Arabidopsis thaliana: one gene and its partner. The protein of the gene in region 1 interacts with the protein of each later gene in a biochemical or structural test. Each region holds a gene or a part of one and is shown in the gene's direction. Other genes may lie near its edges.

Evidence for each region.
Region 2: of the proteins of CRK1 (region 1) and ACR4, one has a biochemical effect on the other in vitro, tested with the Arabidopsis thaliana proteins (one study listed by BioGRID).

The regions. Positions count from the first base shown.
Region 1 is NC_003071.7:17,143,840-17,156,742, forward strand, and holds CRK1 (CDPK-related kinase 1), read left to right. Parts: upstream 1-6,255; 5' UTR 6,256-6,652; coding exon 6,653-7,135; intron 7,136-7,308; coding exon 7,309-7,439; intron 7,440-7,530; coding exon 7,531-7,572; intron 7,573-7,657; coding exon 7,658-7,766; intron 7,767-7,974; coding exon 7,975-8,053; intron 8,054-8,144; coding exon 8,145-8,441; intron 8,442-8,556; coding exon 8,557-8,669; intron 8,670-8,785; coding exon 8,786-8,893; intron 8,894-8,981; coding exon 8,982-9,044; intron 9,045-9,126; coding exon 9,127-9,294; intron 9,295-9,401; coding exon 9,402-9,539; 3' UTR 9,540-9,854; downstream 9,855-12,903. Other genes in the region: AT2G41130 (basic helix-loop-helix (bHLH) DNA-binding superfamily protein), read left to right, coding at 380-847; AT2G41150 (plant/protein), read left to right, coding at 10,012-10,337, 10,500-10,592, 10,694-10,927, 11,054-11,156, 11,259-11,488, 11,566-11,794; AT2G41160 (Ubiquitin-associated (UBA) protein), read right to left, coding at 12,475-12,642, 12,752-12,859. UniProt on the Arabidopsis thaliana protein: May play a role in signal transduction pathways that involve calcium as a second messenger. Serine/threonine kinase that phosphorylates histone H3.
Region 2 is NC_003070.9:25,953,078-25,965,164, forward strand, and holds ACR4 (ACT domain repeat 4), read left to right. Parts: upstream 1-4,489; 5' UTR 4,490-4,765; coding exon 4,766-4,769; exon of another isoform or gene 4,770-5,110; coding exon 5,111-5,183; intron 5,184-5,279; coding exon 5,280-5,325; intron 5,326-5,422; coding exon 5,423-5,537; intron 5,538-5,629; coding exon 5,630-5,697; intron 5,698-5,779; coding exon 5,780-6,382; intron 6,383-6,462; coding exon 6,463-6,567; intron 6,568-6,648; coding exon 6,649-7,002; 3' UTR 7,003-7,324; downstream 7,325-12,087. Other genes in the region: AT1G69050 (uncharacterized protein), read left to right, coding at 8,898-9,182; AT1G69060 (Chaperone DnaJ-domain superfamily protein), read left to right, coding at 11,978-12,087. UniProt on the Arabidopsis thaliana protein: May bind amino acids.

The DNA.
Region 1 (12,903 bases):
ATTCGATTTGGTGTTAGCTCATGAATACTGTACTTTTTCATGATAACATTTTATAATCATTTGGTTTCAATTGAGTCTTTTTTGTCTTACTATTCTTACTTATTAACAAGCACATATTTATCAAAGATGATCCCTAATTTTCTACATTTATAATTCTAAAGATTGATATATATTTTGATTTGAATATTCAAAACTGGCGAGTAGTGATCAGATGAGAAAAACGAAAAGCTTCATGGCCTTTTTGTGAAGCTCGTTGGGATAGTATATCACTTTTTGGGAAAGTTCTCAAGCTTTTTCAGTTGATTTGATTTGATACAAACATCAAATTTCAACTTCTTGATCCAAACTTTTCATTGTAATTTCATGTTTCTATTTTCAGACCGATAAAGCCACACTGCTCGCCAAAGTAGTTCAACGAGTCAGAGAACTTAAACAGCAAACCCTAGAGACCTCCGACTCCGACCAAACATTATTACCATCAGAGACCGACGAAATTAGTGTTCTACACTTTGGAGACTATTCAAACGACGGTCATATAATCTTCAAAGCCTCTCTATGTTGTGAAGATAGATCAGATCTCTTGCCGGACCTTATGGAGATTCTCAAGTCTCTTAACATGAAGACTCTCCGAGCTGAGATGGTAACCATTGGTGGTCGGACAAGAAGTGTTCTTGTCGTAGCTGCTGACAAAGAGATGCACGGCGTCGAGTCTGTGCATTTTTTGCAAAATGCTCTCAAGTCGCTGCTTGAGCGGTCAAGCAAGTCGTTGATGGAACGTAGTTCTGGTGGTGGAGGAGGAGAACGGTCAAAGCGGCGTCGTGCGCTGGATCACATCATAATGGTGTGAAATGATGAGAATTGAGCACACTAAAAAGTCTATAATTGATTAATATATATAGGGTATGATCATAATTAACTTGGTTATAATTACCAAAACCTTTTTTATTCCTCTTTAATAATATATATGTTATATGGTTTTAGTTACTAAGTCTTGGGAGTGTAAGCAAATGTTGTAAGTAGGTTTGGTGTGTTCTTTTTCTTTTCTTTTTTTTTTCTTTTTCAAGAAAAAGAAAAAGATCTATATTATATATAAAGAATATTTGTCATGTTATTTTCCTCTATTTATATATATCTTTTTGGTTGTTGGTGTGATGACTAGGGTTTTGAGATTGTGGGAATATTTGTCGACGTAGAAGAATCTAAGTAACAGATGTGATTGGTGAAGTCCAAAAGAAACTAGGGTACTTCGATTTACATATACACACTATACATGTGAATATATATGTATATATAGTGAAGAGAAGGTCTATGTTTGTATGCTGTGAGTTTCAAAGCGACCCTTATGTCACCTTTGTCCCCAAATGAATCCAAACTCTCCTATCTCTTTCTTTGTTCATGTCTTTCTAAATGTGTACATTTGACCACATTTTTCAGACCAAAGAATATAAGCAGTGCCTGGTTTTCTTTCTTTCTTATATATTCGTATATATCCATGTGATTATGACGAACTGTTTTACTTTTAGTTGAGATTAATTAAGTGTTAGCGAAATGTCTAGTCTACTGTTTTTGTTGATCATATGGAAAAGACGTGCATTTATGCATGACACAAAAATGCTTAAACGTATATTCGAAAAAGTAACACTTTATATACGTTGTATATTTAGGACGCCAAATTTCATATTATGTACGGCTACATGTACAATGAAAGTGTGATGAGACTTGAGAGGATTAACCAAAAATACTGAAAACTTACTTTAATTTACTTTCTTTTAGTTTATTTTACTAATCGAATTTTGGCTCTAAAGTTTCGTGTGAATAAGAAGAATATGTTAGAATGTATAATGATGTGTATCCGTATCTAGTGAGGTTTGTACATATCTGTTATATTTATAATGAAAGTGTTTTGAAATATTGTAGAGATACTATGTTTGCTATGTATCTCTATTCTGGTTTCTTCAATAGGTATCCGTTTTGTTTATAGAAAATGGCTCACCAACTTGCCTCTATGGGAGGCTGGGGATATATGAACCAAATGACTCAATAATATAGCCAATTAGACCATTAGTAAATTGGAATATATATGAAGAAGAAGGTGAATGTGGGATTAAAGGAAGAGGAAGCGTGAGAAAAGGAGACTGACAAAAGGAAATAAAATTGATGGGCCATTGGCTCTATGAGACAAAAAGGACCGACTCTTCTCATCACTCTCCCTTTTCCCTTTCTCTCTTTTTTAATAATTGTTTTCTATAAACTATAATTTTATGGCGAATTTAATAAAATAATATTGAAGAAAACTAAGAGAAGAAGAAGAAGGAAAAAAAAAGGTGGAGAAAGTTTGTCCATGGAGCGTGATGGTTTTGGGGCAGCTGGTGTCCCCTCTATACTCAACCTCTCGACCAAAAAGTATATCTTATAGAAATATTTTTAGCTTTTGCACTATATATTATTGTTAAAGTTATATTTGTATTCAACTCAAAAGAAACTATAGAAAAACTTCTAATTTTTTTAAAAATTCCTTCTGAAGTTTATGGGTAGTGTGGCAAAAGCAATCATTAACCTCACACGTTAGTGTTCCATCGTGTGAACATGTGAGTGCCCTTTCTTATCTCACCACACAATTTTGACCATCCTATTTCCTTTTTGAATATCACTATTTTTTCTTTGTGTTTACTTTGTTTTATCTACATTTCACAAACAAGCAAATAGAAGTTATCATATTATATGTCAAATATGTGTTTGTTTTCATGTGTTCTTATTGTCTTTCTTGGTCAAGTGTTCTTGTTTACCTACACAGACAAATGTGGGAACCTTTTCACTTACTTCGGGGTTTTACCGGAAAGTTAGAAAACCTTACTAAATTATTGCTTTGCTATTAACAAAGATATCTTACTCATTCTTTAAACCAGTGTTTCATTTTGTCCATTGTCAGAACTTATATTCATTTTAACGTTTTAATTGATCTATCGTAGTAGTGAACCATCTCTAAAATAAAAATTCAATACTAATTGAAAATCTAAAACCAATAGATATTAAGAAATCATTTGTTAAATTAACTTACATCTATACATCTATATATGCGACTACTGTCTAGTTTATCTGGAATCCACAATATGTTTTTTGTTTCTCCAAAAACTTTTTGATAACTTTAAAAATCTAGTAAATGCAACATTTTCTAACCTTTTAAAGTATATTTGAGGGTTAAACCGAGAATTAAGACTTACAAGTCTTGGGATAATCACTCTATAAGAAACACTTTATTGTGGTTTGGTTCACTTTTAAACCTTACTAGATATTTTCTAAAAGTTAGTATACATAAAAGTTTACAAATTGTATCTATCTATAAAAAAAATTATTTTATAGTTTACAATTGTTATTAAGTAACGTCTTGCCAAACCCGTCCCGCCAACCCGTCCCGTAAAAAACTATTTATTTTATTAATATTGATCTTATTTATGATATGTTTATGAATTATTGTCTAAATATTTTGTAATTTTGTAGTAATTAAATGCTATCAAATATCTCTGCGGTTTGATGATTATAATCGAATTATTATAGTCATGGAGAAAAGCAATATCAAAAATAATAATTTTGTAATAATTAAATGATATTAAATATTTTGCAAGTTTTATTTTAGTAACTAATCGTGTAGTTAATGTTGAGAGATTTAGGGAAGATTGTTAAATGTCAAATATTTAATTATTCAAAGATTTTTTTTTCTAATTATCAAAAACAAACATTAAAATCTAGTGGCAGTTATTGTAAATAATTCCCAACTATAGGATTTATTTCACAAAATGGCTGCTATATAGATTTTTTAGATAAAACCGATCAAACTCTTTTTCTTTTCAATTATTAAACTCTTTGATGGGTTAAGAAACATAAAAACAAAAAGGAAAACAGAGGAGAAGAATCGAGGATCCAAAAGCCCATCTAAGGTGAGAGAAGAGGGGTCCAAACTGAGATTGGAACAAAATCGGTTTTAGGGTTTCAGAAAGGCCCAAATTAGATTCGAGTAGAGCAGTCCCACAGTGACTCCGACATGACAACACTTGAGTTACACAAGACCACCACGTCTCTATACTCTAAGTCTATGCCGTACGTCAAAGGCACCAACTCTTTCATCACATATATTATTAATCAATTTATACAAAACTCCAAATAATTCACGGGACCAATACTGAATCGAAACTAAACGAATTTGTTAAAATCGGACTTTGTAGATGCAACCGAAACAGAGTAAGTACATGAAAATACGTACAACTGCATGTGATTTATTGTGAAATTCTATGGGAAAAAATTGAATTGACATATTATGCAAAATGCCCGTATGTTACATAAACTTTTATTTTTGTGTGTGTGACTTAACATGAGTGTATAAATGGAACTTTTTTTGTTTTATTTTGTTTCATATAAGAATTTACGATGTAGGAAAAAAATTAGAAATGAAAAGAGGTGGCAAAAGAAAAAGAAGTGGGAGAAAATAGATGTCAAGGAATATTGATATTCTTCTTTTCTCCGATACATTACTTTTCCTTCCATTATCTTCTAGTAATAATTTAGGCTTTTGCTGCCAAATAACTCACAACCAAAAAAGCCCACCGAGGAAGATGGTTGTTAGGGTTTTTCTCTGTTTTATACTTTCCTTGGGCTATCTTACGTACGTAAAATATTTCTTTATATATTTGTCTAGTTTCATCTTCAATCTGAAAATATTATTCAAGTTTCAGGTACGATTCATCAATCTTTGTATTGTAAATTGACTCTTCTACAAAAAAAAAAATGAAAATAGAAATAAGAACCAATAACTAAACTTAAAGAATTAAATATGCTAATTTCAATTCCAATGTGCCAACAATGAACGCAATTATTTGATCTTAGACTAAAATAATCACTCGAGGAACTCGTTTCAAAAGAAAGAAACCAATCAAATCATTGCCTTCCAACTACGGATACTGAGTTTTTTTAACTCATTATAACACGTGAGATCGTCACTATCTCACGCATTTTTCTTTTTGGGTGGGTAATTCACTATCTCACGGATTACATAAATGTTTATGGATTATGACGATTGGCTGCATTGGAAGATGTATAGCCCAAGAAAACATATTTAATCCAGTATGATAGCCTTGTGATGCTCTATAATTTAAAGCATGGTTTTATATATAACTGTGACGTAAATATCAAGGTCTAAAAGCATTGTCATTTTATTTTTATTTCGTATAAATGAAAACTTTAGTCTAAAACACCCGGTCATGTAAAAGTTAAAGGAAAAAGAAAAGAATGATAGCTGATTAATTATGGCAATGTCGTACTATACTACGTCGAGAACTATTCATGATTAGATATTCATCGGTATGATAAATCATATATATGTGATGTGCCTAGTGCAGAAACCCAAACTATTATTTATTTATCTACTCCTTTGGGCTTTGACGTGCAAGTAAATTCTTAGATGTTGTTTTCGAAGTTTATGGGTAGGCAAACCAAAATCTGGAATGAGATATAGAAGAAACAAAAAGAATTTCGAGAATGAAAATTATGTCTCATTTTAAATTCAAATGAACTATAATTCATAATAAGAACATATGTTAAATGATGTTTTTACAACTTGATATGGATTTAAATTACATAAAAGAGAAAACACAACTTTTACCTACTCCTTCTCACAACTCATTCATTTTTGGTGTAAAGTTGATATATGTGGTGGACAAGTGAAATTTGGCAAAACTTGGTTTAACAATTGGCTAACCCTATGAAACAAATTAGGCCTTTGGGTAGAGCTTTCTTTTATCAAGTACCAACTTCGAGGTTATATATATGCTCTGCTTTTATATATTTTGGCATGATTCTAGGACTCTTTTGGATCCTTCGATTGATATTTGTAGACATAGCAAAATTGGCAGTGCAAAGATAAGGTTGCTGTGTAAGTCTTGATAGAATTTAGCAAATATAGAGACTACTCATCTCGTCTATTCTCTCTCTATAAGTTAAAATTGATGGGTTTGATATCAACAAGACATTACAATATTTCTAAAACATAAGAATATCTATACATTAGCCATCAATTAGCAACAAATTTTTTAATAATCAATTTACCATCATAATTTTGTAGCAAGTTGGTGAAGGAAGACTCTTTTCTTGGCAGCCAAACATCACATTAATCCCATTTTAACAATAAAGTGATTAAAAACTAAAAGAACTGAATAAAATAAAAACAAAAGAAATGAATGAAGCCTTTGGCTTTGCTTTTTCTCTTTTTGATTCTCTCCACTTTATTTTTCTTGTTGCTACTGCTAAAAAAAGCATCTTCTTCTTCCTTTTTTCATTCTTAAGAGTCTTTTGCTTTTCCTTGTTCGACTCTCTCTTTTCACTTATTTAGCTTTTGCTTCTGATTGGAACTAAACTCAATTCTCTCCTTCTTCCTCCTCTTTGCGTGTGGTTTATCTTCCTCTAATTAATCTATTGATCTCAATTCTCAACCTTTTTGTTAATTTCAATTTCCTTACCCCTCTCTGCGTTCTGGGTTTCCGAGTCTCGATTTCTGGGATTTCTTGCTTCTCACATGAATCTGTTTCGCAACCTAACTTATTCATCGGAGTGATATCGATATTCTTCTCAAATTTTGAAGCTTTTCGTTTCGAATTGACAATTCATGGGGATCTGTCATGGAAAACCCGTCGAGCAACAATCAAAAAGCCTCCCAGTTTCCGGCGAAACTAATGAAGCTCCGACGAATTCACAGCCACCGGCGAAATCCTCTGGCTTTCCGTTTTATAGCCCGAGTCCTGTACCTAGCTTATTCAAATCCTCACCATCTGTATCTTCTAGCGTGAGCTCAACGCCTCTTCGTATCTTCAAGAGACCTTTCCCTCCTCCTTCTCCTGCTAAGCACATACGAGCTTTCCTCGCGCGTCGCTATGGCTCTGTCAAGCCTAATGAGGTTTCGATTCCCGAAGGTAAAGAATGTGAGATCGGTCTCGATAAGAGTTTTGGCTTTTCAAAACAGTTTGCTTCACACTATGAGATTGATGGTGAGGTGGGTCGTGGACATTTTGGATATACTTGCTCTGCTAAGGGTAAAAAAGGTAGCTTGAAAGGTCAAGAAGTTGCTGTTAAAGTTATTCCTAAATCAAAGGTTCGATCTTTGAAACTGAAAATCAATTTCTCTTAATTCTGTATTCGTTATGTTGTTTTGAAATATATGACAATGATTTCGAATTCTAGTTTTATCGCCATGTGTTTATAGAAGTATACAGCTTGTTTCTCGACCCCGAGTCATTGCTTAGTGTTGAATGGTTTTGACTGCAGATGACAACTGCAATTGCGATTGAGGATGTTAGTAGAGAAGTGAAGATGTTGCGGGCTTTGACTGGTCATAAGAACCTAGTCCAGTTCTATGACGCGTTTGAAGATGATGAAAATGTTTATATTGTCATGGAGTAAGTATACATTTCTCAGTGAGATGTCTTAAGATCATTTGATTTTCAATTCCAGGATTGCAATAAATATATTGTAATCTCCTTTTACCAGATTATGCAAAGGTGGTGAACTCTTGGACAAAATACTTCAAAGGTAATTGCTAATCACACATGGCTCTGTATCTGATTGATTTTCTCTTCTGAATCGTGCTTTGACTGGTTGAGCTTGATCTAATTAGGGGTGGAAAATACTCCGAAGATGATGCTAAAAAAGTTATGGTTCAGATTCTCAGTGTTGTGGCTTACTGTCATCTACAAGGTGTGGTTCACCGTGACCTTAAACCCGAGGTACTTTATAATCCATGGTGATGTTTAATTTCTAGATTGTTCTCTCATTGTTTTTTTTTGTAAATCATTTTGGCTTTTGTTGACACTTCACTTTCTAGGTCCCATCACATTAAGCAGTCTTTGTACACATAGAAATGAGTTCCACTAACTTATGCAGAGTGATAATGACGGTTATGTTTCTTTCTATTTGTTTGTTTACCTTTCACAGAACTTTCTTTTCTCTACCAAGGATGAGACTTCTCCTCTGAAAGCAATTGATTTTGGTCTTTCTGACTATGTCAAGCCAGGTTAGAGATGTTGAAATTGACTCAAGATTTCTCATATCAAACTCATCTTCATGTTAAATAGAAAATTTGACGGTGTTTTGCAATTCTGCAGACGAGAGGTTGAATGATATTGTAGGGAGTGCTTACTATGTGGCCCCGGAAGTTTTACACCGTACATATGGAACAGAAGCTGACATGTGGAGTATAGGAGTGATTGCTTATATTCTTCTCTGTGGCAGTCGACCCTTTTGGGCCCGTACTGAATCCGGAATCTTTCGAGCTGTACTAAAGGCAGAACCGAATTTTGAAGAAGCTCCTTGGCCTTCTCTATCACCCGAAGCTGTAGATTTTGTGAAGAGATTGCTAAACAAAGATTACCGTAAAAGACTAACTGCGGCCCAGGCTTTGTGTAAGTATAATATCTTTGATCTCTATAACAGGTTTAACACATCATTATTTTGTTTTCATGGTTCTGCACTTCTTATATTCTGAACATCTGAGTAATCAATTGTCTTTTTCCTCAGGTCATCCCTGGCTGGTTGGCTCGCATGAACTAAAGATTCCATCTGATATGATCATATACAAGCTTGTAAAAGTGTACATAATGTCAACTTCATTGAGAAAATCGGCTTTAGCGGTGAGTTTGATTCCACAGAAGCTGTGACATATATACTACTTACTTAACAATTTCAATTGTTGAGTTCTTTGAATGAAAACTTTATGATTAATGGGTTTTGTTTTTCATGGTTTTAGGCTCTTGCCAAAACATTAACTGTACCGCAGTTAGCGTATCTTCGGGAGCAATTCACATTGTTGGGGCCAAGCAAAAATGGATATATCTCGATGCAGAATTACAAAACAGTGAGTTGTTTTTCCATGATTCCATCAACCTCTTCAGTTTTCTTTTGCGATCTTCTGTGATTATTGAACTTTCCTCTACAAATCTCAGGCAATCCTAAAGAGTTCAACAGATGCTATGAAGGATTCTCGAGTGTTTGATTTTGTTCACATGGTAAGAAAGCTATAAATATAAGGACTATAAGCTTAATCATTAGGTTTGGTGGTTTAACGTTGTAATCTCTGTTGGGATGCAGATAAGTTGTCTTCAATACAAGAAACTAGACTTTGAAGAGTTTTGTGCTTCAGCATTAAGCGTTTATCAGCTCGAAGCAATGGAGACATGGGAGCAACATGCACGGCGTGCTTACGAGTTGTTTGAGAAAGACGGGAATAGGCCCATCATGATTGAAGAACTTGCATCGGTATAAGTTTTACCCTTTTTAATTCACCTAGGGGCTAGAGAAGACTCGTGAAGAGCAAAAAACCTGGTCATGCTTGATCTTAAGCATCTGTATGTTTTAAATTGCAGGAACTCGGACTAGGGCCATCAGTGCCGGTGCACGTTGTTCTTCAGGATTGGATAAGACATTCTGATGGCAAACTTAGTTTCTTAGGGTTTGTCAGATTGCTACATGGCGTGTCTTCTCGGACCTTACAAAAAGCTTAGAGTAACGCCATTGTTAGATGAGAAAAGATGCAACTAGGTGGAGTAGATCTGGTTTCTTCTTTCCTCTCCACTTCTTGATAGTTTTTTTAGTTTTCTTTTTCTATTCATGGTTAAGCTTCTGAGTCAAAGATTCGATAATTATGTCTGTGAGTGTATTTGTGTGTGGTGGGAAGGAAAGGTTTATGAAGAAGAGGAATGTACAGAATGAGACATATCCGATTGGTGTTTTTAATCCAGTGATGTTTACGTGTGAAGCACTCTTTTAATGGCAGCCGGAAAAAACAATTTGTCTTTGTGCCATCGTTGGATCAGAGCAATGATACGACACGTGATTGTGTCTCACATTGTCAGAGACAACCACGTGACTTTGACCTTAAGATCTCTGATCTCATCTTAATCTCTACCTAACCGTCGCAAAGATTCTTTCTTTCTCTCTTCTTACTCTGATCTAGACACTACAACAGTTTCATTAATGGCGACAATGAGCAAACCCCATAAGTTAAAAGCCACTCCAGGATCTCAAAGACTTGTTCTGTTATGTATAGTCGCAGTTGCATTTCTCCTCCTTTTCACTTCGGTGATCTCCACCGGCGGATTGGCTTTACCGTATCGGACAACCCTAATTGGTTATTTTGTGAGGTCAACTCGAAACAAGACACAGCATAGTTTGTCGGACAAGTACTTGTACTGGGGAAACAGAATCGATTGTCCTGGTAAGAACTGTGAGACCTGTGCCGGTTTGGGTCACCAAGAATCTAGCCTTAGATGTGCCCTTGAAGAAGCCATGTTTCTGAACAGGTAACTTTTGCAAAATCCACCAATATGTCAAACTTTTGAGATTTCTGATGAAGTTCTTGAAATGGCAATTAGCCTATCTGGTTCAATGAGATGGTTAGTTGAATAAATGATGCAGCTCTCTTGGTAAAGATGGTCACTGTAATTGCAATTTTCTTGTTGCAGGACTTTTGTAATGCCATCTCGGATGTGCATCAATCCAATACATAACAAGAAGGGTATACTTAATCGATCCAACAATGAAACTAGAGAGGAAAGGTGAGAGTTTCTTTAAACTACTTCAAAAACTTAGGTTTTGTTTTGTTTCCCACTTTTGAACACAAGAGGTCTCTCTCTCTCTCTCCTTTGTATGTTCTTAGTTGGGAAGTGAGCTCTTGTGCAATGGAATCATTGTATGATATTGATCTCATCTCTGAGAAAATACCTGTGATCTTGGATGACTCGGAAACATGGCACATAATGCTATCGACGAGTATGAAATTGAAAGAACGTGGGAGTGCGCATGTATATGGGGCAAACAGGCATGAGCTAAATGACTCTAGCGACTTTACAAATCTTTTGCTCATTAACCGAACCGCAAGCCCCCTTGCATGGTAAGCATTGCTGAGGAAATTGTGTTTCCAATAGATTGGGAAGTTGCTGCTCCTTGAGCATTATTTTCTTATCTTGTTTGTGTTAGGCATCATCATTATCAGATCATATATCTATCTTCATTGTAGGTTTGTTGAATGCAAGGATCGAGGTAATCGTAGCGACGTCATGCTTCCTTATTCATTTCTCCAGACTATGGCAGCATCAAGATTGAGAGATGCTGCAGAAAAGGTGAAGGAGTTGCACATAATCTAGCTTTCAGGAAAGAGTGACCAGATGGTAATGTACTGTTGACGCCTTATAGCTTATTTATGACCAGTTTTGGTTGAACAGATAAAAGCAAAACTTGGTGATTACGATGCAATCCATGTTCGTCGAGGTGACAAACTGAAAACAAGAAAAGACAGATTTCGCGTGGAAAGAAGCCAGTTTCCACATTTAGATAGAGACACACGGCCAGAATTCATCATTGGCAGAATTCAGAAACAAATCCCACCAGGACGGACTCTTTTTATCGGTTCTAATGAAAGAACCCCTGATTTCTTTTCACCTCTAGCTATCAGGTAAAACCATAATGTTTAGATTCAAGTTTTTAGTTATATATGTAGAATGTTCGTGTAAGACTCTTGTTACACTGCAGATACAAAGTGGCGTATTCATCGAATTTTAGTGAGATTTTGGATCCGATCATCGAGAACAATTACCAGTTGTTCATGGTGGAGAGGTTGATAATGATGGGTGCAAAGACATTCTTCAAAACATTTAGAGAGTACGAAACCGATCTCACTTTGACTGATGATCCGAAAAAGAACAAGAACTGGGAAATACCAGTTTACACCATGGATGAAGGCAAAGAAGCAGCAAGCTAAACTATCTATGATCTCACTAGGCACTAGCAAAGTCTACACAACGATTCAGACAAGAGTCTCATTACTCTTCAAATACTTGGAGTTAAAAGCCTAATCTTATCTGAAGATTCTATTGCATAGGAACTCTGTGTATGTGTAACCAGAGTCTCTAACAGAGACTAACAGACTAGATTTGCTACTTGGCTGACTCATTTTTGTGTAAATCAATCTGTTTATCTTCACTTCAATGTTCATTGCACCAGAAATGGTTTTTTAAAAACATTCGAGTTACATGGTATGGTCGTTCGTCTTTTAAGCAAGTTTCTGCAGCCACTTTCGATATCCTAATCCAATATAAGTGAAATTTCATATTTTCTTTCTTTTCTAAAGAGAATAGGTTCTGTGAAAGGTTAAATGGATCAGTAGATTTTAATCAGATAAGCCTCTTCATATTTTTTTCAAATCTGTACTTACATAACATAACCTAGGCACTTTGTTCTAAAACTACAACGGCAAACAAAAGAGGCCAAAAGAAAACCTAAAAGAAAGATAAAGAGGATGTAAATCAGATCATTTACTGGACATATTATCGTCAATGCAAGGCCATTTCCGTTGTTAGAACGCAGCAGAAGAATACCTCTGTTGTACAATGTCTTCATCTCGAATCAACAATGTTTCTGAAACTTCCTAGTAAAGAAGGTTTAGTGAGAGTGTGCTTCAAGAAGGATGTTGGTGGCAGCGTTGACATCATTTCTGGCGTGTACAAGCGCCTGTCTCGCTGCATTCTGGTCAAATCCCATAGATACCAAAGTAGCTATGGCTTCCTCTGATGGCTCTGTAGTTGACGGCATTGGAGCTCGATAAGCTCTCTGAGAAACAGAAACATTACATATCAGTAAATGAAGATGTGTTATTTAGATTGTGATAAGAGTTTGGCTAAAGAGGCAAAATATAAATGGTGCAGAGATAAAGACTTGCCACTGCTTGGCGACCTAAGTTGGGTGATGTCCTTCTTGGTGGTTGAGAATGGCTGCTCAAGGAGGGTAAGGAAAACCGGGAGAATAACGAAGCCATGAACTCCGGGAACTGTCGTACATTTAAAACAAAAACTAGTGTTAGTACCACTGTGT
Region 2 (12,087 bases), on another chromosome or scaffold:
TATCCCTTAGCAATATTTTCTTCTTCTACATTTTCAGTTTAAAGACAAACATGTGGGCATGTGGCTCAAATTACTTAAGATTTTACTACAGTTTTAACTTTTAACAATCAAATGGAAAAATATTGTGAGCTCGTCACAAAGTTACTTCCACCACCGACGAAGTTAGAGAACATGTTTTTTGTTCATGCATGCTGCATGCAAATATTCAATTTTATAGTAAACTAACATAGTTAATATAATACAAAGTTTTGATATTTTTTGTTAATTGGTTAATAAATGAAAATTATGACATTCCAGTAATATATTACAACAACAAATAATACGAAACTCGAAAAGTTTAGAAGGCTAGTATTTATAACTATGACAGGATTTGCATTTTTTGATCATTGCCGGTCTAAATGACGCACTTCCATGAATTCGCTTGGAAATTATGTTGCATATGTCGGCCACGACGTTTTTTTGCTCCTTAATTCCGTAGTCCAAATCCCTTTTATACGCGGAAAGTATTATTTTATAACATTAGAACTGATAAGTGTAGTTATAAAGTTTAACCAAAAAGAAAAGTGTAGTTATAAAACCTCCATAAAAAGAAGTAAAAATAATCATAGTTATAACAATTAGCATATTAAGAAGATTACACTGAGTTAAACGATATTAGTATATTACTCACACCAAGTAAAACGTACTACATTTTCTTTACCGTTATTAAAATGTCTACTACATGCCTGCACCGCTAATCAAGGCTAATTTTTCATTACCATGCAAACTTTGCATAGTTTAAATGGGTCAATGCAGGAACAATAATATAATAGAAGAAAATCTCAAAAAAAAATGACCAAATTAATTGAACGACAAAGAGAAAATCCAAGTTCGTGACTAAGAAGTGACTAGTCCATATACGTTAGTAGATATAGAGCCCCGCGCTTGAATCTCGACAAGACAAAACCATGAATTAATAAGGAACATGGTCACCTTCACATCACTTCGATTCGGACAAACGTAATATTTTTTATTATATCTTTTAAAAATCTCCTCTTTATAGCTAAACTCTTGTCTTCGATCTCCGAAAGCAACCTTTTGGACCAACGACCTCGAACACACACAAACAGAGTTTATAAACAGTGTTTCAGCCACTATTTAACTATTTCATCTCTACGTTAATCCATGAATATTTTTTATTTTCTCCTTGGGTAATAAAAGCCAATCATGGTAGATATTATTAACCGACCATCTGTGATATCAAATTGCGACAATGTGGGCAAATATATCTGTCATTTACACAGTAAAAGTAGTAAAGGATTCTATAAATTATATACACCAATAATTTGGCCCTCTTGATTGACTCGATGTGTGTATCAGAATTACACTATTTATAAGCTATAGTAATAGAAACTAATTTAGAAAATCCAACTCACATGATGGATATGTCTTAATGCCACCGTTTGTAGACCCCCGGCGTCCACTTTCGATTTTTTGGAGCTTTATTTGTCCATCTATTAGCGGATGGGTTGTTCCGAAAATTTCAAAACACTCGAATCGGTTTTGCGTTTTAGCTCGAGTTTTTCTTCCTCATTTTTTCTTCGTTTGCAATAGTGAAAATTACTTCTCAATGATGCACTTGTTGTACAACCAACATTTTTTCTTTTCAGTATAATTTAACATTTTATTCAAAAAAAAATAAAAAAAATTACTTCTTAATGCCTCATCATTTCGACCCCACATTCACTTTTTATTTTTGGAGCTTATTTTGATCCATATGTAAGTCAATGTGTTGTCCCAAAAAATGTAAATAACCAGTTTCTTTTTTCCTAAATCATAGTATTACAAATTATCTCGAAGACATTTTGACCTCCAACACTAAAACTTAAGAATAAAAGATGTACTAGTATTTTGAGATAAATGACAAATATCTTCTTGAATTAGGTCTTAGCTTGAAGATGAACAAGTGGGAGAGTAGACAAAACGTGGGATAGATTACGAGAAATTCAGAGGTGAAGGAACATAGTAAGAGAAAGGTAGGTTCGGCCACAGCAGATTCCTAGACCGGCTCTCATGCAGCACGATGCTTTATTTTGTATGCCTAACCATGTGACTGCAGTCTCTCCATTTAATTCAGTTGGCCGCTACTTGTTTCTTTGTTTTTTTTTCCTAACCATGGTTAGTTTGTAACACTGGTTAGTGGTTACTCACACACTTGTTACTACTTCCAACCTTTTTTTTCTTTTTTTTTTGTTGTCTTCAAAATGTAAGAAACTTTAATACTTCTTAATATGTTGATTGGTTTTGTCACTTTGTAGACCCCTGATTTTTAACTATTTCGGTAAACTTTTGTAAAACAATTTGGGTTTAAATCTCTCATGTTTTATTAGTTGTACATCTCAGCTAATGACAATAGCTCAAGTTAACGTATCATACAAAACAGCAAAATAGATTCGAATTTGATTTTTTTCTTTTTTCTTTCAGGTAGTTATATATATAACTAATGTATTGCAAATATTTGAAAAACATAAAGTTCAATGAATCTAAATTTGATAATTAGATTAACAAAATCGACATCACATGTATGAAATCGAATTCCTGAATATTCAAAATATTGTGTTTTTTTCATAAGTTCTTGCATGCATTTGCAAACGAAAAAAATCGATTTCATATGTTATATATATATATAGTCGTAGATATGTCGTAAGTACATTTGGGTATGAATATTTGGATAATTCATCATGGGTACTAGATTTCGCTGTCGTTCCATTTGTAAAATATCAGGATTTTTTAAGAAAAAGTTTTATACAAAACTGTATTACATGTTTGAATGAATGATCATACATATATATATTTGTTAAAATACTACTATTTAACACATTAAAAATGACATCCTGGAAAAAATTATATTAAATTTGAAATCTCTACATATTTTTGTGAAATATTTTGAAAATCATGCCAATATATATATGATTATATTCATTCAGTCATGGTGGATCATCATTTTGTACACCAAAACACATTCCCCATTTTCTTAAAAGAAAACTTCTATATATATATATATATATATATACAAATACTACTATTAGATGTGAATATGTAGAAATATTTGAGTCCCATGCGAACTTTACGTAAATATGTTGGGAAACGATTATATATATATAACTCACTTTTCTTATAGAAATAGATAGAACACAAATAGTGTGTGTAAAACTCACACATAATTAAATTCCATAGTGTTTTCGGTTGTTGAAAAACATGGAAAATGCCGAGGAGGTCTCGAATCTGATGTATTTATTTATCAATAATTTGGTAATGTGAAATAATAAACCAAAAAAAATAAAAACAAATCTTTAATGTTGGGAAAGAGATGTGAATGAAGGTACGGTCAATATATAGACAATGGTACGTAAAGCGAAGAGTACATTGCCACCCTGTAAACTCTGTATGCTCTATGTTTTCACGCTATTGATTTTCGCTTTTCCTCTGTCTCTCAACATTTATGTGTTCCATCGGTTAATTCTTGAATCTCGATTGTATTTAATTCCGACAGAATCTTAAAAACAAAACTATTTGATCGTAACACCATTTACGTTTTTCTTCTTCTTTCTTTATTAACAACATGTAATATAACGAGGATTTAAAATCAATGTTAGTGTGTGACTCAACAAATATCTTGGTCCATCAGTTACGTTTTTTTAATTACTCGATTTAATTGGATCATTTAAAGTAATCATCAACGTTTAACAAAAACACAAAATATGGTCCATTTAATACTATTGTATATTTTTGGCTTCTTTTCTCGGTCTCTTGTAAATTCTAATATAAGGAAAACAAACGTTGGACAATAATTTTGATACGGTACAATTATTCCATATGGTCGCTCTTTAAAAACACCCATTTGCAGTTATCTTTTTTCCTGATTTGAAATGGAAATAGACATATATAATATATATATATATATTCCTTTTGGAGCAAAAGTTAGGAAATAAATATATATTCTTCAGAGATTTTATGGCACATTGTATATATCTTAATAATATTCCATAGAATCAATACGGGTCATGAATCTCTCTTCACGATGGAATATATATGATTTATTAAGATGGAATCATGGAATCATATCATTTCTTTTTCACACTAATAAGGAAATTATCATATATATCAGAATCTCTACATTACACGATCCAATCTCAAAAGAATAATATATAATCGGCTTAAAATTCGAAACAGTAATTAAAAAATTTTCACATCTTCTACTCCGAGAAATTTGGGTTACAGATTAGAAGAGACCTTGTCATAATTACTACCCAGTAATTTTATTTAATTACCATCACGTGGTTAAACAAAGATATGTAGCATGCTAACTTATCCGCGCATTTTAGCTATTTTCCACTTAAAACATACTACTGTTTACTAACATACGCTGAGAGTTACAGTTCACACATCTTTTCTCTTCCTTCTTCTTCACTGTATATTAAGAACAATAAGCAATATCAGTTTTTTTTTTCCTCTGATCGAAGCCGCGGGAAAGTTATAATAATATAAAGATATTTTTCGTGAGAGTTGCTCGTTTATGGGAGAATCGTGTCAGATTAATTTCTATTTTTGTTGGTTTAATTTTCCATTTTTAATTTAATAATTTTAAGGAAATATTATTAGAGTGAAAGGAAAAAAAAAAAGATCTTGTGGGTCGCCATTATATATGCAGGTCTTTCTCCAACCTTTTGCTCCTTCTCTCTCAAGTGTCAAGAATCAAACAGTGGCTTAAACCCAAAAAAGGAACATGGGTATGTCTCTTTTTTCTTTCTTTCTTTTTTCTCATTGTTGATTCTTCTTCATACGATTTTTGGGTAAGATATTTCATTATTGGTTATGGGGTTTTCAGTATTTGGTAGTTGCAGGTTAAAGTTTTTGTTTTTCTTCTTCTTCTTGTGGTTTTTTTCTCTGTTAAGCTCTTTTAGAAATTTACCTAGGATTTGATGTCAGTGGTATCTCTCTGTTTATTGGTATTTACAAGAATACAGAGAGAAAGAAGAGATTATTATTCATGGGTTTTGTTCTGATTTTTGAAAGTTTCTGTCTTTGAAACTCACTGATTTTTTTATATTTGGGAATTTTTTGATTGCAGATGTTAGTATGAGTTTTTCACAAGATATGGATAATGAGTATGAGAAGCTGATAAGAAGAATGAATCCACCAAGGTATTAACTTTTTTCTTTCTCCTTCCTTTTTGTTATTATAACTACTTTTAATAGTGTGATATGATTTTGGATAAAAACCTCTGTTTTATTTTCCAGGGTTGTGATTGATAATGACTCTTGCAAGAAGGCAACTGTGATAAGGGTACACTTATAATTTTGGTTTATGTCTATATATCTTGTTTATTCATTTATGTAGACTTGTCCTGAATTTTTTGTTTTGTCTTCTTGATGTTGTTTAGGTGGATAGTGCAAATGAATATGGGATTCTTCTTGAAGTTGTACAAATCCTTACTGATCTTAACCTTACTATCACTAAGGCGTACATATCTTCTGATGGTGGTTGGTTTATGGATGGTATGTTCCGATTGTTAAATTTTCTTTTTTTTTGGATTCTCTTTACTTTAGAACAAGGGATTGATTCTCTTATTCTCTCTGCTACTTGGCAGTATTTAATGTCACTGATCAAGATGGTAACAAAGTCACTGATGAAGTTGTTCTAGACTATATCCAAAAGGTGAGTGTTTTTTTGTTAAACTTGTTATCTTCTTCTTATGTGTGAGTGAGAGTTTAATGAGTGTGTTGTGTTTAATTCTCAGTCTCTTGGGCCTGAAGCTTGTTTCTCCACTTCCATGAGATCAGTTGGTGTCATACCATCAACAGACAGCACGGTTATTGAGTTAACTGGATGTGACAGACCAGGTCTGCTGTCTGAACTGTCAGCTGTTTTGACCCATCTCAAATGCAGTGTCCTCAACGCTGAGATTTGGACACACAACACCAGAGCAGCTGCTGTGATGCAGGTCACAGATGACTTAACCGGGTGTGGCATTTCTGATCCAGAGAGGTTGTCTCGGATCAAGAACCTTCTCAGAAATGTGCTTAAGGGAAGCAACACACCAAGGGAAGCTAAAACCGTAGTGTCTCATGGGGAGGTCCACACGGATAGGAGGCTTCATCAGATGATGTTTGAGGATAGAGACTATGAACACCGTTTGGTGGATGATGATTCCTCTATCCAAGATGAAAGGCAAAGACCAGATGTTTGTGTTGATAATTGGCTCGATAAGGATTACTCTGTGGTCACAGTTAGATGTAAAGACAGACCAAAGCTTCTGTTCGACACAGTCTGCACTTTGACTGATATGCAGTATGTGGTTTTCCATGGAAGTGTTGATACTGAGGGCACCGAGGCGTTTCAGGTAAAGAAATATCCCATTACCATAGAGCAGAGAGTTTCCTTGAATCCATTTACTTATCGGTCTTTGTCTTTGCTTTGCAGGAGTATTATGTGAGACATATAGATGGATCCCCTGTGAAATCAGAGGCAGAGAAGCAAAGAGTCATACAATGTCTTGAAGCAGCTATCAAAAGAAGAGTATCTGAGGTAAATGATCCAGTAATATATAGTGTCTGGTATATACTCTTTCTGTAACTGTCACTGAGAGATCATTGTTTGATGTTTTAGGGATTGAAGTTGGAACTGTGCACGACGGATAGAGTAGGCTTATTGTCAAACGTGACTCGCATATTCCGTGAAAACAGCCTAACGGTCACAAGAGCTGAAGTGAAAACCAAAGGAGGCAAAGCTCTAAACACATTCTATGTCAGTGATGCATCTGGTTACTCAATCGATGCTAAGACCATAGATTCCATAAGACAAACCATAGGCCAAACTATTCTCAAAGTCAAGAACAACCCTCAAGAACAACAACAAAGACAGAAATCGCCTTCTCACGAATCACCGACAAGATTTCTCTTTGGGGGTCTCTTCAAGTCGAAATCTTTTGTCAACTTTGGCTTGGTCCGTTCCTACTCTTGAAGAACAACTTCACTTAGCTGTGAGGTTTCAATCTCATCTAGGTTTTAACTGCTTTAAACTTGAGAAGAATCTGTAAATCTATCGCCAGATATAATCTTAAATTCTTGGTCTAGGATCCAACTTTGGGTAGGGAAAAAAAGACAAAAGAGTTTTAGTTGATGTCATGACTAAGTGTTAAGTGTTAACCTACTCTTCTTGTATATATATCAAATCCTCATTATCTTCTTCTTCAGATTATTATGTCAAATTAAAATTTCCATGACTTGAAACAAAATAACTACAAAAGACATAATTATACTTCATAATTTAGTGATTTATGGGAAGAAATATGATTGAATGATTCCAAACAAACCTCCTAAATTTACACCAAAAAATTATTGGCTTATGATATCGAAAGAAAGACTCTAGCAAATTAAGAGACACCATTTCAAAGATTTTTTTTTGTGAATGAATGTAAAATTAATTCAACCAAAAAAATGTTTTCCATTAAATGTAACTTTTTCTAAAATCTTAAGCTGAAAATAATAGATATAGAGTCTTTAAGAATTTTCTTGAGCCAAACCAAATACATAGCCCAAGTGGAGAATGGATGAACATTACACATAATTGCAACAGATTTTTCATAGTAAATTTGTATAAAGAAATATAATCTATAGCATGTAACAAAAATGAACATGTGAGGGGGGGTGTAGATATTGTCACCACCGAACACTTTATGGGGCGTGAATACTGAAACTATGTCGATGACAATGTGTGTATGATAGATTCTCGAGTCACATGTTGAGACCAACAAAGTGATACACCTCCCCACCACCACACACCGCCCATTTAGTTTTCCACATTCATTGATAAATGTTACATATTTTTTGGCTTTTCAATTTGAAATTTCTCAGAATTTACTAAACTAACATATATATATATATTGACATGTGACTCGTCTCAATTACATGGCTTTCAGTGTGGGTTTAGGATTCTTCATGGCAGAGGAAATCTTTTAACTTTCAGAGATTGTCTTTATAAATTATGAGATTGCAGACTATCCCACATGCATATTTAACAACATTGTTTTTGAGTTTTAGTTTTCTCCAACTACAAAAAAAATGAATGATCTACAAAAATTTCATTTTCTTCTGATTATTAGAGATTAATGTGTGTTTGGCATGAGTGGTCGAATTTTATATACGGTAATAATAAAATGAGTTTTCTAAGTTTGAGAATATAAATAACAATAAGAAGAAGTAATTTTGTTTCATCTTTCACGGGTTAAGCTTAATGATTTATTCTATTTTATAGTGTGATTTGATTCAAAACATCTAAACTGTGTGAGATAGATGTAGTGAGAATTATACATTTTCCGATTTTCGTCTAGAAGATATGACGAATTAGCTAAAACCTAAAAATAAATACACGGCCGTACGCGGCCACATGTTGCCAACGATAACGCATTCCTCATGCCAAAATTAAAATTCTCATCTAATATAAGAAGACTAAACATAAAAATTGATTAAGAAAAGAAGAAAAACACACTAAGCATACTTCCCATTATAATAGATCTCATATCTATCCAATCCATTGACCATTGACCAGTTTTTTTTCTTGTTTGTTTTTTTTGCCATATTGAGTCAATACAGGCACCACCACAACAACCACACTTTCACCCAATTTCTATTTTTCTTACGTTTAAAAAAAAGGATTTTCTTCTTTATATTTATCCATACTATTAATTACTCTATTAAAATCCTCACGCTAAGCAACCCCTAATTTCGTTATCAGCTTAAAACCCTTTAAAAGGAAAAAAAAAAACATTCAACATTTTAAAACATCAACAAACCCAAACACCAATCCACACACAAAACAAGACTTGATACATTATTATCAAGAAGCAAGAAGCAAGAATGGAGGATTCAGGACGTAAAGGAGATCCATTTCCAGGTTTTGAGATGAGAGTTCACAACGACGATTGCGTTTTCCGACGATCTCTTAGCTGCCGGCTTCAGAGAAGAGCTCCTTGTCCTCTTCTCTTACCACCAAGACCTCCTCCTTCAGCGGAGGCTCCTTCTACTACGACAGGTGTTTCTACGTCTACGTTTTGTCAAAACGGCACAGATCCGATCCCTCTCTTGTCTCCTCTCGTCCTTCCTTCGATGCTTCAACCTAATCCAACCACCACCTCTCACTAATTCTTCTTTTGTCTAGATTCCTTCTTCTTTCTTCTGTAATGACTATTTTGAAACTCTTTTTTTTATTGAAATTTTCAACATATTAACGTAGATACAAATCTGTTATTGTCTCTATACAAATTTCACAAAGATCGTCTTCTCTCAATCTTGATTATACTGAAGATTTTATTTTGTTAACACATCATTTATAGTTTGTACAAATACAACTAGATTTTAACCCGCGGTATACCGCGGAACGATTTATTTTTAAAAATAATATATATTGAAACTTGCAAATTTTATTTTTACAAAATATTTATATTTTACAGTTTATAATTGTTATTAAGTAATAGTACACCACGAATTCATGAGACAGTTGTTAAAAAAACTGAAGTTTTGATCCCTATTAAAACAGCATATTTTATAATTTTTTAAAATTTTATAAATATTGATTCAAATACATCCACCATATAACCCAATTCCAAAATAAAACACGTTCTGTAATTTCTTTACCCGTTCCATGATTTTTTTTTTAAGTAGTAATTTTTAAAATTTAAGAATTATATTTTATATATAAAAGTTTTGCAAATTGTATCATTCTCTAATACATTTATATTTTATAGTTTAATTTTATATATAGTAATATTATACATACCACATAACATTTTTGGTTTTATATAATTTTTTCTAAATTAGGATGATTTGATATGTTTAATATTAGTGGTCTTAAAAAAATAATAAATTAAAGATTTAACCCATATTGAAATTAAATTAAATTAATTAAAATTTAGATATCAAATCTTATATGTTGATTTTGATTGGCTATTATTTTTGGAAATTAATAATGTATTTCGTTTTTTAATTAATTTAATTAATTAAATTAGTATTTGACTTTTTAATCCTTAAATACATAAATTAATTTACTCTTTAAAATTTTATTTCTAATGGCATACCTATGTAATTACTTACAAAAATTAAGGTTAGATTTAAAATGTACTTCCCAAATAATATAGTAAGATATCATCAACTTTTATTTTTGATTTATTGTCTCTTAATGAAATTATTCAAGGAGTGTGTGCACCTCACGCCACTCACACCAATTAATACCTATAGACTTTGGTCTAATGTAACTGGAATTGGTCCAAAAATTAGAGAAGACAAGACCTCTTTACATGCTTCCAGAGCTACCAACAAACCCAATAGAAATTTTGTTGTTGCAACAATCTCTTTAATTAATGTACAAGTTTCTTTCAATCACCATAAACCTTGATTTCTTAGTTTTTTTTCCCACAAATTCTACCAACAATTTATTGTTTTTCTTTTTATTATGTTCTTAATTCTGATCTTTCTTTGGTGAGTTTTTTTTTTTTTTAATTTTGATAAAGAAAAGATAAGTTTGTGAGTTTAAACACTAACCCTGTTAATTTTTCTTCATCACATTGTTAATGATGCGTTGACATAGGAACCTTTTTCCTATACCACAAAAATTTTTCTTTTTTTTTTCTTTTTTTGTGTGTGTGTAAAACTCCACAAAAATTTAACTAAGAGTTAAAACTGATGAAAAATCTTAATTTTTTGGTAAGATTTATAGAAAAATGAAAAAGGTTTTTTACGATTTGTTTTAATTAACTATAGATAACCACCTTATTTAGATACGACGACCAAATTAATTGTCGTTTGGTTAAAGGTCATAAGAGTATTAATTGGAGCCGTCAGATTATTTATTGACTTAAATATACCTCACTACTTTTACATTTCTGCATTATCTCTACATACCATATATTATAAGACTTAATTTCGGATATATATGTGTTACCAAAATTGAAATTCTCTCATTTACATATGTTTCCTTTAAAATTTAAAACATGATTTTACCCACTTGATGATCACGAAGAAGAAAAGGAAATCAAAATAAGATATGATGTACTATATGAAATTGCGACTTGATGATTACAATAAAGGAAAAATAACATAATCAAAAACTAGATTAAATTCAATTTTCGCATGGAATTACATAATTTCATTATAAAAAAAAAATAACATACAAAACTTTTAATTTAAACGTCCAAAAACCCTACATTATTCCAAAAAAAAAATTGTTTGAAAGTAAGAAAGAAAATTAATACAAAGTGAGAGAGAAATATGTTTAGGTGACACGAGTTTCACTCTCAATTCCAAAGACAGACCAATCAACGAACAAAACCCATTTTCTCTGATCGATTAGGCCACGACGTTTCCTGAGGTGCAGGGCACGAGTCGCTCAATCTCTCTCTTCTTCTTCTTCTTTTCACGAATTTTCTCCGAAACTTGGTTTTTATTCCTCAAACCCATAAATTAGGGTTCAGTTTTTAAGCCTCCGTCTTCTTCTTCTTCCGTCGTCGTAGTCGAAAGGTTAGTTCGATTATATTCAAATCTTTACTCACTACGATCCTTAAATTAGTGGGTCGTTTTCAAAATTTTGATTTGATTCGATTTTCCTTGGTAGACCATAAAACCTAGAAATATACGATTAGGTTATTCAATTGCTGTCGATTTCTCGATGTAAATAGGTTTCGTTTGGTAGATTCTAGAAACTTATTTAATGTCTATGATCGTTGCTAGGTTTTGTATCGTGTAGTGATTAGTTTATCAAATTCACTTTTGTTTTGAGTTGTTACCTAATTTAGTTTTAGCTGATTTTGATGAAGTGGGAATAAGAATCTGGTTATAGTGGTAATGATGTGTTTCCTCTGCTTATAGGTGGTTTTAGCTATATGGATATCTTCTACTGCAAATACTCTTCAAAACGGATGCTTTGAAGCCTTGATACTAATTTCATGCGTTCTATATATGTGCATCGTAAGGAAGTAATGGGAGAGAATCGTCAGATTAGATCACGTTCTTGGAATAGAATGCCAACTAAAAGATGCAGTGCAAATGGCATAAT